Linked DNA regions of Drosophila melanogaster. The protein of the gene in region 1 interacts with the protein of each later gene in a pairwise test. Each region holds a gene or a part of one and is shown in the gene's direction. Other genes may lie near its edges.

Region 1 (4,221 bases):
ACTTTTCGCGAAAGTCTTCAAATGCCCGTAGGTAGTTGCTATCCAGTTCAGGCTCCTCCGCGGGATTCTGATCACTCCCATCGCCGCTCTGGAGCCTCAGGCTGTACAGATAGTTGTACTGCGCCTGAAACTCTAGGTACAGTGGACGCAAAGCAGCCACTTCCTCGCCAGACAACTGCAAGTCCACCTGTTGCTTCTGCAGCAGAGTCTCCAGTTCCTGGTTGGCTTCACCAAAAGCGAAGAGCAGCACACAGCCCAGCAGAAGCAATGCTTTTCCAATCATTTTGCCCGGGCAACTGTTTCAGTACAACTGAGGGAGGGATTTTGACCAGCTTCATTATCGGAAGAAGTATGGCTCGTAAAACACTATCGAAGATACCACACTTGGTTTTTCTTAAGTGGCGCAGGTTGATTAGGCTTATCCGGCTTATCGCCAATATTACGCTATATATAAACCACCACGGGGCAATGTTTTTCGAGAGAAAATTTAAATTTCTATTTGGCTTTTTATGAATGGTCGAACTGATAACGATTAAAGATAACTATGCTCATAAATATTAGGTAAAAGTTGATGTAAGTAATTAATATTTTCAAGTCGACACCAGACCACAGTTAATAGTGCATTTGACTTTATTACATTCTTTCTAGTTTATCGCACACGACTCAATCTGCGTAAAGAGGTCATCGAAATCCATCTTCAGATGATGGTAGAAGAGGCAACTTGGTGTGTCCAGGTCTTCCAAGGACATCTCCAGCACAATTGCATCGCACAGCTCCAGACTGCTGATCATCCGCTGATTGATCCTCCCGATTCCAGCGACAGTGCATAATAAAACTCCGGCGTGATTGAAACCAGACTGCTTAAGCTGCCAGATTCTGCAGGTGTTTGACAACTCACTGATCTCCCGCGAAGCCTTACTCAGAAAATTAGCCTCCAGCACGATTTCCTCCTGAAAATGATCCATGATGTGGTCCAGAGAATTCCTGCAGATACTGTACTTGTCCACCAGCTCTCGATTGAAGTGTGCCACCTGGAGTTCGTACTTCTTTGAGCATGCCCGCCACTCATCGCTGTACTGGCTTCCAAAAAACATCTCCAAGCGTCCACTAACCACTTGCTGATGGTCATCCAGTGTGTCCTTGGCTTCTTGAAGATACTCCAACTTCTGATCGAGGGCCTGTTGGGTGACGTTCCAGATCCTGGCTGCACTGGAGCTTTGGCTGGCTATAAGCTGCTTTGTGGACTCATAGAGTGGTCCATTTTGTCCCCAAATTCTTTGAAAGTGGCCATGCACCTGTAAGATCTTTTCTTTAATATTATACTTTACACAAATAATGCTATTTCATACACAAAGAAGCGACTGAAGTAAAAGCAGTGACACCCGTACTGTTGTCATCTTGAAACTAAATCGAATTGATTCCCGAAAAATTGAAGATACCATACCTTTTATTTATAGATCGCCAAAGGTTGCCTTAATTAACTAAGACTAAGAATTAAATTCTTTTTTGGGAAAGAGTTTTAACGCTTTAACAAAAATTGTTATTGTTTATAAAGAAAATATTGGGATACCGAAAAATTTAACAGCGTAAGTTGCTAAAAATACCCATGTCATATGTGATCAATATGAAACTTTAGGGTATTTAAGTTCCGAACAAAACTTAAATTAAGTTCTGAATTAGACAAATGGCTCATTTGTGTCTTATAATGTTTATAAGAAAGATTCTTATCGCATGATGACTGTGTAACGACTATATGCTTCAAGTTAGTCATCAACCTCAGCTTTCTTTAGCAAACTTGAACTGTAAATATCTCCCCTTTTACAAATAAAAGTATAATTGATCCCTCCATTATTCAACGAAGGTGAGAAATTTACAAAAAGAAATTACGAAAATTTACGAAAAATACGATGACCAAATAGAATACTTTGAATAGTATACCAAGTTCATGTACTAAAACATCATCTCAGTTCATCAAGTTAATGCTCAAATTGTGTTTCGTAGTGATTGCTATGAGACACACTCTTATCGTGACACTGGATCTCTTGACATATATAAGAAGTCAAGTGTAGGGCCAGTCGCACTAGGAAATATAACAGAAAGATGATGAGTCAAACTCTGGGAGTACTTGCTCTGCTTTTGCTGACTTTGGCAGTGAGTTAATAGTAACTTTCCATTTATAGTACTTTTCAAATTCATATGCTCCTTTATTTCAGGACTGCCAAGAAGTCGGCTATGAAACAAAGATGGAGACAGAGACTACAAACTATGGACCTGTTACCATGGTTGTGGACAATCTGGCAGAGATTGCCGTAAGTGTCAGCGACGACACCTCCATTCAGTTGGAGGAGAAAATAAATCGCACTCGGCAAAATATTGCCGGTAACATTGAGGTCCTGACCGCCAATGCTATGGCCGAACTAAGTGATGTGATCTATGAGACAAACCAGTTAGTGGTGTCCAATCCCGATTGCAACCCAGCCTGGAGCCTGGATGAGCTCAATGAAAATGTGACCCATCAGCTGGGTGGGTGTACGGAAGACTTGGGAAGCCTTTTGGAAGACTTCCGTCTGGAGAGTCAACTGGCTTTGGCCAGAGTACAGGAATTCGTACAGCAGATTGCCCACTTGCCGGCCAAGTGCCAATTGCTGGGGGCTTCCCCGCTTAATCCTCTAGCTTCAGCTGGCGGAAGTGTCTGTTTCATTAACGCGATGGCGGAAATCAATCTGGGGATGGCCCAATCCATGCACAATGCATCCCTAATCCTGGTGCAGACCCACCAGACCGCCGAGGATCAAGTGGTGCAGGCTCAGCTGTGCAGTGCCATGGTGGTGCAGCACATCGGCGACTATCTGCGCGAGGAGCAGGATCAGTGCCGGCAATCATAGTGGACCGACCCTTCCCGTAAGCAATAGTCCTAAGAGAGAACCCAGGCAAAAACAGCCAATGGCAAATTTATGCACCCGCAAGATGACAGGGGCCGAGGACTCGCCACATCCTGTTCACTTATTGCTTATGCATGACATTTATTTGACAAGTTTTTGATTGATTTTACAGCTGCTGCAGTCGATCTGGTACAGCTATCAGCATATTTGCAGGCACAGTGAAGCCTTTTTAAAGTCTGGCTTGGAATTGAAATAAAATCAATTTCAAATCACTATGTTCTTATAAAACGCTAAGAGGCGTGTGTTAAACCAAGGAATTTACACATTTTAAAATGATCAATAAATAGTGAAGTAAATTACTACTTAGTATCAAGATCTCATTTCAGTTTGATTCGACTTAGAGAGGTTGCTCTGTAATTGCATATATATACATATGTACATATGTATATTGGGCAACTTTGTGGCTAATCGCAAGTTCACTTTTCAAAGTCGCATGCATACTAATTGGCCATTGTTCGGCTAAACTGACCAATTGCCCAATGGACTTGCCCACGACACGTGGCAGCCACACGATATAAGATATAGTAGCATACGGATCCGATCCAAATGGGCGACAGCTGGCCCTAGAAAGAGATAGAGACGGAGATCGAGATCGAGATCAGCCAGTTTTTTTCCTCTTCCTCTCGCTTCCGCAGTAAGCAAAATTATTTTGACCTGCCTACCGCACACTGAGCGAATATCCGAAGCGAGTATCTGTGCATCCGTGAGATACACCAAAGCATCGCATCACACATCTCTCTCGTCGTTCACAGTGCAGCAACGAAATTTCTACGACTCTTTATTTCGGCTCTTGCCGCAATTTCACTAAGAGTCTCTGAATTTTATCTTATTTTTACTGCTTGTAACAGTTGTTGCCCTGCTGATGATCGCCTTGGTAGTGTAGCTGCACAAATTCCGCCTACTCCAACATCTGTTCAGCTCCTCCAGACATCTGACGGATTTTGATGACGTAGATCGCGCGACTCTTGTCTATTGAAAGCCGAGCTCTGAGCAAAACAATCTTTTTACATCTGGCACATCGAAAAGGCTAGTCACTGACTATTAAATTATAAGCTGAAATGGTTTTTACTATAGATTTTAAAATAAAATCATTCAGTGCGCCAACAATTTATTTATGTTGCAGGCAAAATTCTGTGTTATAGCATTAATCATCGAGAAATATAGTTTAAAAAATATTTCTATTAATGCCTAATCAACGATGGTCATTCCCATACGATCAGTGATATAGGACTTGACTGCTTCGAGTGCAACCTCTTGCACATGCCGGTTATTTAGTATT
Region 2 (4,946 bases), on another chromosome or scaffold:
TATACTTTACAAGAGGTTTCAATTAGTTTGCACTTGGTTTGGACTTAAAATAAAATTCATATTCATATTGATTCTGTCGGCTCTTAAATTTGGTCAGATATACCAAATTATGTATCCGAGTTACTTGCGCTAGTGACGAATAGCGAAAGATTCTTCTATTAGACCCACTAGTTCAGTAAGAGATATCTGATAGTCGAGAAACTCGAAAATGGCACTGTTGTTTTTGAAATGTGCAAACGATAGTGTGGCAAAAGTATCGTTTGGGCGGTGATAGTGCAATCGATGAATGTGCAGCTTTAATTTAAGCTTGTGAGTCTTGGCAACTCTAGAAACACATCGATTAACGTAGCTGAAAATTGTTTTATGTTTAATTAAATACAGGCGAATAGCTCAAGATCTTTTTGGTGTTATGAGCGTTCAAAAGTCACTACCGTTTCCCACTTAATACTTTGTTAACTGTTAAGTTCGTGCAGCAGTTCCCCAATTCTTGCAGAGGAAACAAATTTACGAGTGCTTCGGTGTTGTTGGACACACACTCACTTTTCATCGGTGGAAAATCAAATTTGGGACCAGGCGCAGAAGATTCGTCAGGATGACGACCAAGCACATCTATTCCACGACCAATTTATCAGATCTGCAATTAAAGGAGCAGGGAAACTGCTTGTTTGCAGCCCGAAAATATGACGACGCAATAAATTGCTACTCAAAGGCCATCGTAGGTGTCTCACATATTTTTGTTATTGTGATGTGTATTTTGTTGTTTACATGTGCACTATGCTCCATATAATATGTAGATAAAGAACCCCACAAACGCCACATACTTCACAAACCGAGCCCTCTGCAACCTGAAACTGAAGAGATGGGAACTGTGCTGCCAGGATAGTCGGCGCGCCCTCGACATCGATGGGAATCTGTTGAAGGGTCACTTCTTCCTGGGCCAAGGACTCATGGAAATCGACAACTTTGACGAGGCTATAAAGCACCTTCAACGGGGTTAGATAATACCTGACCTTTGATGTTCTCTACACTAACTAACCATATATGAAACTTATAGCATACGATCTGTCCAAGGAGCAGAAGCAAAACTTTGGGGATGATATTACACTACAGTTGCGACTAGCTCGCAAAAAGCGCTGGAATGTTATGGAGGAGAAGCGAATACAGCAGGAAATCGAGCTGCAAAGCTATTTAAATGGGTAAGATGTTATTCGAATTCTCTAGATGCCTTTTGCAAACTAAATTTAGTCACCGCACGACGATATCGAGGCAATTGTTGTCCTCATGTGATAGAATATATATTAAAAAAAGCGAAATTTGTGCAAAACCTAAATATTTATGTTTCAGTCTAATAAAAGGGGACATGGAAAGCCGTTTGGCCAATTTAAAGCTGAATGGAAATGTACACGATGAGCAGCTGAAAGACAAGCAACAGGAAATTGAGCAAGAATGCGTAAGTTGGACTTTAACCAGAATATTTAGCGGAGTTGACAATCTAATTTTACTTTTTAGGATGACCATATTAAGGAACTTAACAATATATTTTCTAAGGTTGACGAACGTCGAAAGGTAAGAAACTAAAGGAAAAATAACCAATATTAAAAATATTGTTCTAATATTGTTATTTACATATTACAGAAACGTGAAGTTCCCGATTTTCTATGTGGCAAAATAAGTTTTGAAATATTAACAGACCCTGTGATAACTCCATCTGGAATTACGTATGAACGAAAAGATATAGAAGAACACTTGCAGCGGGTTGGACATTTCGATCCTGTGACACGCGTTAAGCTCACTCAGGATCAACTAATACCAAATTTTTCAATGAAGGAAGTGGTTGACTCTTTTATTGCCGAGAATGAATGGTCTTTAGATTATTAAGTTACTTATTAGTTGGCATTGTCATTGTAATTGATTAGATGTTAGAACCCAGTTCCCATTGTCTAAAAACCAGATAAGTGATAATAAATGTGGATCTGCAATTGAGATTTATATTGTAAATGGATAAATTGTAATTATTAATAAATTAAACAGCATAATGTTCAAAATATAAATAAAAAAGCTTTTGCACGATATCGATAGAGAGTTAGCGGTAGTGTGAAAACAATATAGTTTCGATCACCCGTTCCAGTTAGTCAAAAAGTTGGTGATATCTTGACCAAACAAATTATCGATATACAGCTGCTTACAGATTTGCAGAAATCATTTTCAAAGAAATTTGTTTATGTGAATTCACAATTGGATTAACTTCGCTCTTCTTTGTTTAGTATTTATTTAACAATAATATGGATTCGTCTGAAAGCCAATCGCAAATGGATGACCAAGATGCTCGCATACTGCGTCTGCAAAATCTGATCGAAAAGAATATTGAGATAGGTAAGTTAAATCATAAATTACTAATATCTGAAATAACTATATGAATTGCAGAGCAACAAATCGAAAACAACACCATCGGAGAGTCTATCACGGCCATAGAGGAAATCATTCAGACAGCCAACGATATCAGCAAGGGACATGAAGACCGCCGTACAAACTCCACGGAACTTGTCCTGGACACGGAGCTACTGCGTCGCAATTTCGAAGTTGTGGGAAAAGCTATCCAACATAACACCAACGTCACGGATCGAATGGTGGCCACGGCGATCGTAGGTGCACTGTGTACTTTATTTATGCCTGATCGTAATGTTTGATCCTATTACAGAACGATTTGGTTTTCAAAGAGAGCGAAGAAGATTGGGATGCTCTTTGTTCATTGGCTATTCAGTTCGGAAGACCACTCTTCACCAATGATAGCATGCTGCCCTTCATAGATGTTACTCCAAAGGTGGTGGTTCAAAAGCAACGTGCTCCTCGCAAAACGAAATCTCAAGTAAGTCATTTGTTAAACAATTTCTCACAGTAATATTTGTTCATATTATTATGGATCTTGTAGGTAGATGAGAAGCGTCCAGAAAAGAGTGACCAATTGGAACGCAAGGACGAAGGAGCAGCGTCCGTAACCCACATGCTGAAGCAAATAAGACAAATATATCGAGATGGCAATCAAGAGCCGATTCCGTACTTTAAACTGATTTGCAATCCAAACAATTTTATGGACACCGTTCAGAACGCTTTGCAACTGTCGTTTCTTGTCAAGGAGAACTATATTTCCATCGAAAATGGCGAGGATGGTTTGCCATTGGTTCGCGTTGTGAATTCCAAATCGGTCGAAGGAAACGCACCGTCCCAGGCTATTTGTTCCATCGATGTTACCTTTTGTGAGGTTCGTATTTCAATTATTGTTTAAAGCATTATAATTGATATGATTTAAATTACAGAAAATGGTAAAGCACTACAACCTACATGAGCCAATGTTAAAAAGACTTCCGGTTAGTGAGAAATAGATATATCACTTAGTTCATATTAATAGTTTATATTGTTATTAATAAAACACATAGAACGTTTAAAGTTACTCATGTACGGCATAAATAATCGGGTAATTGAAAGTGTTCTTTCCCCCAAACATTAAGTAATTAACGTAATATCAACACAAAATCATTAAATGAATTTTATTACTCAAGCAGTTACTTCATAGTTCAAACACTTCCCCCAATATTTTACTACGAATCCGCCCCTGCCATTATGTCAATTTTTATGACCGCCTACAAATTGTGAAATATGTAGAAGGGGCACTTGTGAAGTTATAGCAATATAAAATGTATGTATGTTATATTTAGGAACTAAATATTAGTTAAGTTGTTTACTTATAACTTTAACCAGTTTCGGATTATGTTCTTAATCCGTTTTTCCTGGTCTCAATGGGTGGCATACCAAGAATTAAACAAATAAATTACTTTGCAGAGTGGAATAATGAATGAATGAATGATTGGTCCATTAATTAAAAAATCACTCCTGTGCTCGAAATTAGTGCACTTTCCGTTGCACAGCGGCTTTTAATTGAATTCCGTTAACTTAATTCCACAAAGAGAAATTAAGATTAATTAAGATTTATTGCACAATGAAGCTTAGGGTTAATTGCATCTTTGCGGTCGACGGAGTTTAAAAGGCTTTCTATGGAGTATAGCCTTTTCTAAGAGATCAGTGCTTCTATTCAAACTGGATGTAGTAGATCAAGTTACTCGATGCACTATTGTCTGAGATTTTGGGGCTTTCAACTTCATGTGGGCGAAGAGAGTTGACCCAAGTGCAGGAAACTAAGCTAATGTGTAATTATATATAAAACCAAAATGAAGATTTATTGCTCCATATCAGCATAGCAACAAACGACCCAATTAATAGCCACCCAATCTTCAAAATACAAAATTAATGATGCACAAGCGCAGTTTCAATAAGTTGCCAAGTTGGGTTTGTCTTAGTAAATTCCATTGAAGAATTCTACTTCTATGAAAAACTTAGTAAATGCATTATGCTACTATGAGTTTGAGCAAAGAGAAAATAGTTTTTTTTTAACTGGAAAATTATTGAAAAAATGTATTGTTTTTATGCATATGCTGCAATATGTTTTTATTTCAAAAAAACAATTTAGCTTTAAATTTTATCTATTTCAAAGTTTTCTTATTTTGCAAGCAAACTTTTTAAGTTCTTGCCATTTTGGGAGCCTTCTTCTCTTAGTTTCTGTGTGGGAAGCTTAAGTCCGGATTCAGTTCTGCTAAATTATAACCAATTTGGACTCCATAAATTTCCTTGGATCACTTTCGCATTAAGCGTTTGCGTAAGGTTCGAATGTACATTTGTTCTCGCATTGATATTCCGCTGAAAGCTACATAAAGTTAAATGCATACATATGCAGAGACATCACCCACATTATTGTAACTCACCCGTGGTCACAGGCACACCTGCGGTCAGCTAAATAGCATCACTGAATTTTAGATGAAGTGTGAACTATATAGGGTTCTTATTTGTCTTGCCAAAAGCAGTATGATATTAATGAGTAGCAATTGTTTACCTTG
Region 3 (5,078 bases), on another chromosome or scaffold:
GAGTTAAAAGAGTTTTGGTAATGCACGACAGCGGAGTAAGTTCGACACAAAATGCTAGTTAATATTGGGAATGAGATGCCCTCCAAGTCCACATCACTTTTCCTTCTTCTGTATGGAGGCAATCCGCCAGGCGCCCACCAAATATCGCACCCAGATCATGAACAAATCCCTGCCCATTTGCAGCCACGACCAAAATGGTGTCAGTTTCGAACCATCGATCTCCGTCCATCGAACGGCAACCTCGGACATTGGTAGCTTCAAATTCTCAGCGAGGTACAGCAGCTCAACATCAAAGGCCCAGCGCTCCACATGCAGACTGGTGAAGAGTTTCCTGGCCGTCGTTCGGGTGAACAGCTTGAAGCCACACTGGGTATCGCGAATGGAGCGCACGGCAAACAGCCAGACGAGGAAATGAAAGCCGTGCATCAAAATTGTTCTGTGGCAACGCAGATCAGTATTTGGTCAGCTAATAAATGTAGGATTTTATCTTACCTGAAGAAACTCCTTGTTGCAATCGCATCGTTCTCCAGATGTGCTCTCGATCCAATGGCAATGCCATCGTCTCGCCATTCGGGAGCTAATTGCTTGAGGGCCACCTCCAGTTTATCGTAGTCGGGAAACTTGGTGGCTCCATCCGCATCAGCGAAGAGCAGATTACGACCCCGTGCACTTAGCATACCCATGCGAACGGCACCTCCTTTCCCACGATTTTCGATGAGTTCCAGCACGCGTACCTTTTCTGCTCCGTGCTTTTTCGAGTAACCCAAGGCGACGGATACGGTGGCATCCTGACTGCCGTCACTGACCACGATGACCTCGTATGTGAAATTGGGAGTGCCAGCAGATTTCTGTTCCAGAAAGGCCAAGCACTCGTCCAGCATAGAAGGCACTAAACGAGTATAAACACACACAAATGAGAACAAGAAAATCGAATAGCTTTTGGGGAAAGTAACTTAAAGTAACATGTTAGTGTAATGAAGTTTCTGTAGATAAATTCGGGTGCCAGACAATCAATCACAAATGGGCATAGATAAAATGTTGACTGTGATTCACCAAAACAAAAACAAATAAGCAACATACAGCGCTGCTCCTCATTGTAAGCTGGTACGATGACACTGAGCTCCAAACTTGGCGAGTCCTCGAGACTGGGAAAAGTCACTGTTTTAATGGTGTGCGGGTCCAGGAAGGTCTCCTCATCCTTGTGCCGCTTGATGTTGGGATAGGGCTTCGTCTTGTAGAGCACCAGAGCCGCAATCTAAACGATGGATTATCAGTAAAAATAAGAAAGATAGGCGAATGTATTCAAGATCTGACCGACAGCGCAGCGACTGCAAGCGTCGAGAGTAGATAGAAACAGAGCTGGCAGAGGCAGGTCCACATTGTAGGGCTTTTTTTAGCAACTAGTTTGTATGAACAGGTGCGCCTGCTACCTGCCAGCAGACATTACTTCTCCAATTTGTGCGAGATAAACAGAGCCACGTATTTAATTCCAAGAATTTTAGACCGAAATGCCGCAGCTGATTAGGGTTGTCAACTCAATTTAGGGATGACACTTCTCCGCAAAACAGTGACTCATTCACAGTCACCGCAGATATCGATTAATGGTCTATCGCAGTAAGAATTCTATGATTTTGAATTAAAATAAAATATATAACAAAAGGCAATTTAAAATGGTTATAAACTTTCTTATGCTTGCGAATATTAAGTAGATATAGGTTAAGTATGTAGTTTTAAATAATAAATCAAAAACTACGATATGATATAGGACTCATGGTACAAGACTTTATAAAACACATTTTCTGATTGATTTTTTTATGTTAACATAAGTTACTCTATATATTTTAGTCAATTCTAACCTATAAATACTATTAAAAACTGACCTTAGTCACAAATATCTCTGCTTAAGGATCGAAACACGCATGCGCGCTCTTTGAAATTCAAAAACAACAAGTTCTGAGAATATACGTAGTCCTCTCCCATTCAGATACACACCATTGGAATTTTTCATCGCCTCTGCGCTGGGCGGAATAACAATTTGTTTATAGTCAATTAAAATGTGCTTGTGAATCGTAAAAAAAAAACTACATAAAATACAAAATGAAGTTTTTAAACTTAATAGTGGTCGTATTAGCTTTAATCTGCAACGAAGTTCAGGGTCTAAAGTTGCAGGCAAATGTTGGAGAACTCTTCACCTACAAAATCGAACCGCAACTCTTTAACTGGACACACCAGGTGATCAGCCAGCAATTTCGCTACAGACCCTCGCTGAAGAATTATCCCGATTTGCCCAGTTGGATGCGATATATGTATAGCCATGAATACCATGCCGGCTTCCTCTACGGAACTCCTCCAGCATCGTCGGCTGGCAAGGATCTAAGTCTGGATGTGGTCGCCCTTAATCGCCAGAATTACGAAACGCGACGCGTTGTGGTCACAATGTTTGTCGCCCACAAGTTTCCCACACCCAATGTCGTGCAGATGAAAATAAACAATCTGAATTGGGTGCACCTAATGGATCCCGGCAGAAGGGAGAACCTACGAAATATATTCCGCAACGATCTTTGGCCAAATAGCAAGGAGGACTTGAGTGTGGTCTTCATGGAGTCAGCTGTGAATATGGGCGGACGACTTCCACTGCGACCGCAGCAGCGCGAGGGGTAATCTAGTTATAATTTAGTTATCCATAACAATCTCTTATCTTATTATATTCATTTCATATTTCATTGCAGAGTCATTGTCCACGTGGGCAGCTTTGCCCAGTTCTCACCGCGGCTGCAGGAACTCCAGGAGGAAGTGAGACCACTGTACAAGTTGCCATCTTGCACCTACAAACGCACATCCGTGCAGAAAATCTTTGAGAATGTTGGCTTCAAACTGGACTGGTGCGCCTTTCGAATGGTGGGCATGGAATCACCAACGGAAATCCTCTTCCACAGTGGCAAGCAGAACGAGCAGCAGATGCCCGATGATCTGAATCAGAGGCAAGAGGATCGCTGGATGGGAATCGCCAGGGAGGATGTGCCCGAACGCAATTACATCGATGAATTCGCCTTTGCCTTTGCCATTCCGGGCATGATTTTTGCCATTTTAATCGGAATGCTATCAGCTGTTTTGTGTTTCCAGCACGAGAAGTTGTGAGTTTCCCAACTGGGAAATTACGAAATTGATTTCTTCATTTTATATTTTCTTTAATTGTTTTTATCTTTCGTTTACTTCAGTTACGATCCGCATTCTGAGTTTTTCTTTGCCAACATTTTCCACATCTGCGAAGAGTCCTGTGCGCCGCAAAGCGCGTCAAGCGATTCTGGTGCGGATGATGGTTCTGAGAGGTGATTTCACTTCTTATTTTCCTATTTGCTCATTGAAAGCAGTGATTGTATATGATTGGTATCGCTTACAGCTCTTCCAATTCGGATTATCCCATGGCATCCACTGTGCAGATGGTTCAGTGTTCGGATAGCAAATCCAATCAGCCCATAACAACATTGAAAAGCCTCAAGGATCCCAATTTTCTACTGGACAACACTAGCATGAGATCTCAGAGGTGGAGCTGTCTAGCTATTCATATTCAGAACTCTCATATTCAAATATCTATTTATCTATTGTAGTCCCAACAACAGCTTTTACCAGTTGGACTGCGGAAACTCCAGCATTTATGCTCGTCCCAAGCCACCGCCATATAAGGGCGGTACTTTGGGTCGAAATGGAGTGGACATTTGACAAACATCTCCCCGAGTGCTCTACTGCTGAGGAGTGTTGGATTCGAGCGCATACAATTTCAATAAGCAATATCGAGGAGGAGCGTTATATCAATTGCATAAATACTCACACCTGCCGAACTAGACAAACCATATCGTAATTATCATTTTATATAGATATGCAAGCATGAAACTAGCCAATTAGTTTGCCATTTAAGAATAAAGGCAATCAAATAAAGCATAATATTTTAGAAGTCTTTCGTTTTAACTATTTTATGACCTACTCATCTCTGCTAAAGTCGAATTCAAACACTTTTCTTTTATAAAAAGGAAGTACTAAATTCTTTACGCGCCTAATTTTAAATTCAATTGAAACCAGTTTTTATGCATAAAATCGATATTTCAGTTTGAGCCAACGTATCGATGTATCGGTTGTAAAATCGTTCTTATTTCCAGCTCTAGAATGAATGTTCCGCAAGTTTTCGTTTTTCGGAGAAAGTTTTTACAGTTTTTGCGGGCTGCATAGTGCCGAATCATTTCGCAATGGCGCCACCCGAAAATGGGATCCTTGAGGTCCTCGAAAATCTACTTGACCGGTACAAAATCAACCTGCTGCAAATGATGTTCGGCACCTTCATCGCCACGATCGTGTTCTTTGGCGGACTGATGACTTTCGTGGAGAAGTACCTGCCCAATAGCATACGCCAGTCCTTTCGGTATGGCAAGCACAGTTTCAAGGGTGAAACGGATCCTTTGGTGGCCTGGCTGGAGGTTCCGAAGTCCTGGTTCAAGCACTTCTACACATTTGCCCTGTTCTGGAGCTGGCTGGCATTTTATGTGCTCGTTTCAACCGTTCGGGAGCAAAAGGAGGCGCCCGAATATGTACTCCAATTCCTGGACATCATGGGCGGCGGACGTAGTCACCGGAAGGTGGAGATCGACTCAACGACTGCCTGTGTGGGCGCATTTATGCTCACGTTGCAGTGCACCCGGCGTTTTTACGAGACCAATTTTGTGCAAATCTTCTCCAAGAAGAGCAAAATCAATCTGTCGCACTATGCCGTGGGCTATGTGCACTACTTTGGAGCCGTTATAGCTTTACTATCCAATACCTCCGGCTTTGTGCGCGGCTCCAAGCCCATGGAGTTCAGCCTCGACAAGCTGACAAGCCAGCAAATACTCTACCTCGGCGTCTTCTTTCTCGCCTGGCAGCAGCAGTATGCCAGTAACATGATATTAGTTAACCTGCGGAAGGATCCGCGGACGGGAAGTGTCAAAACGGAAAAGCACCTTCTGCCCAAGGGTGGGCTTTTCAATCTGCTTTCGTCGCCGCACATGTTCCTCGAGGTGGTCATGTACTTCTGCATCGCCGATCTCTAC

What was found. Proteins that work in one complex are often made in the same cells at the same time.
Region 2: the proteins of CG11672 (region 1) and Nse4 interact in a two-hybrid assay, tested with the Drosophila melanogaster proteins (one large-scale study listed by BioGRID).
Region 3: the proteins of CG11672 (region 1) and Scgalpha interact in a two-hybrid assay, tested with the Drosophila melanogaster proteins (one large-scale study listed by BioGRID).

Annotation. Positions count from the first base shown.
Region 1 is NT_033777.3:8,288,428-8,292,648, reverse strand, and holds CG11672 (uncharacterized protein), read left to right. Parts: upstream 1-2,070; 5' UTR 2,071-2,100; coding exon 2,101-2,151; intron 2,152-2,213; coding exon 2,214-2,885; 3' UTR 2,886-3,254; downstream 3,255-4,221. Other genes in the region: CG31463 (uncharacterized protein), read right to left, coding at 1-283; CG31464 (uncharacterized protein), read right to left, coding at 645-1,295, 1,350-1,397; nazo, read right to left, coding at 4,131-4,221.
Region 2 is NT_033779.5:10,437,247-10,442,192, forward strand, and holds Nse4 (Non-SMC element 4), read left to right. Parts: upstream 1-2,193; 5' UTR 2,194-2,282; coding exon 2,283-2,373; intron 2,374-2,424; coding exon 2,425-2,642; intron 2,643-2,698; coding exon 2,699-2,866; intron 2,867-2,929; coding exon 2,930-3,259; intron 3,260-3,314; coding exon 3,315-3,380; 3' UTR 3,381-3,801; downstream 3,802-4,946. Other genes in the region: STUB1 (STIP1 homology and U-box containing protein 1), read left to right, coding at 593-715, 795-993, 1,055-1,196, 1,345-1,450, 1,510-1,566, 1,636-1,878.
Region 3 is NT_033779.5:8,301,444-8,306,521, forward strand, and holds Scgalpha (sarcoglycan alpha), read left to right. Parts: upstream 1-1,985; 5' UTR 1,986-2,097; coding exon 2,098-2,657; intron 2,658-2,729; coding exon 2,730-3,134; intron 3,135-3,218; coding exon 3,219-3,329; intron 3,330-3,400; coding exon 3,401-3,544; intron 3,545-3,608; coding exon 3,609-3,720; coding exon of another isoform or gene 3,721-3,750; 3' UTR 3,751-3,933; downstream 3,934-5,078. Other genes in the region: wol (wollknaeuel), read right to left, coding at 94-436, 493-889, 1,081-1,255, 1,315-1,380; CG7840 (uncharacterized protein), read left to right, coding at 4,242-5,078.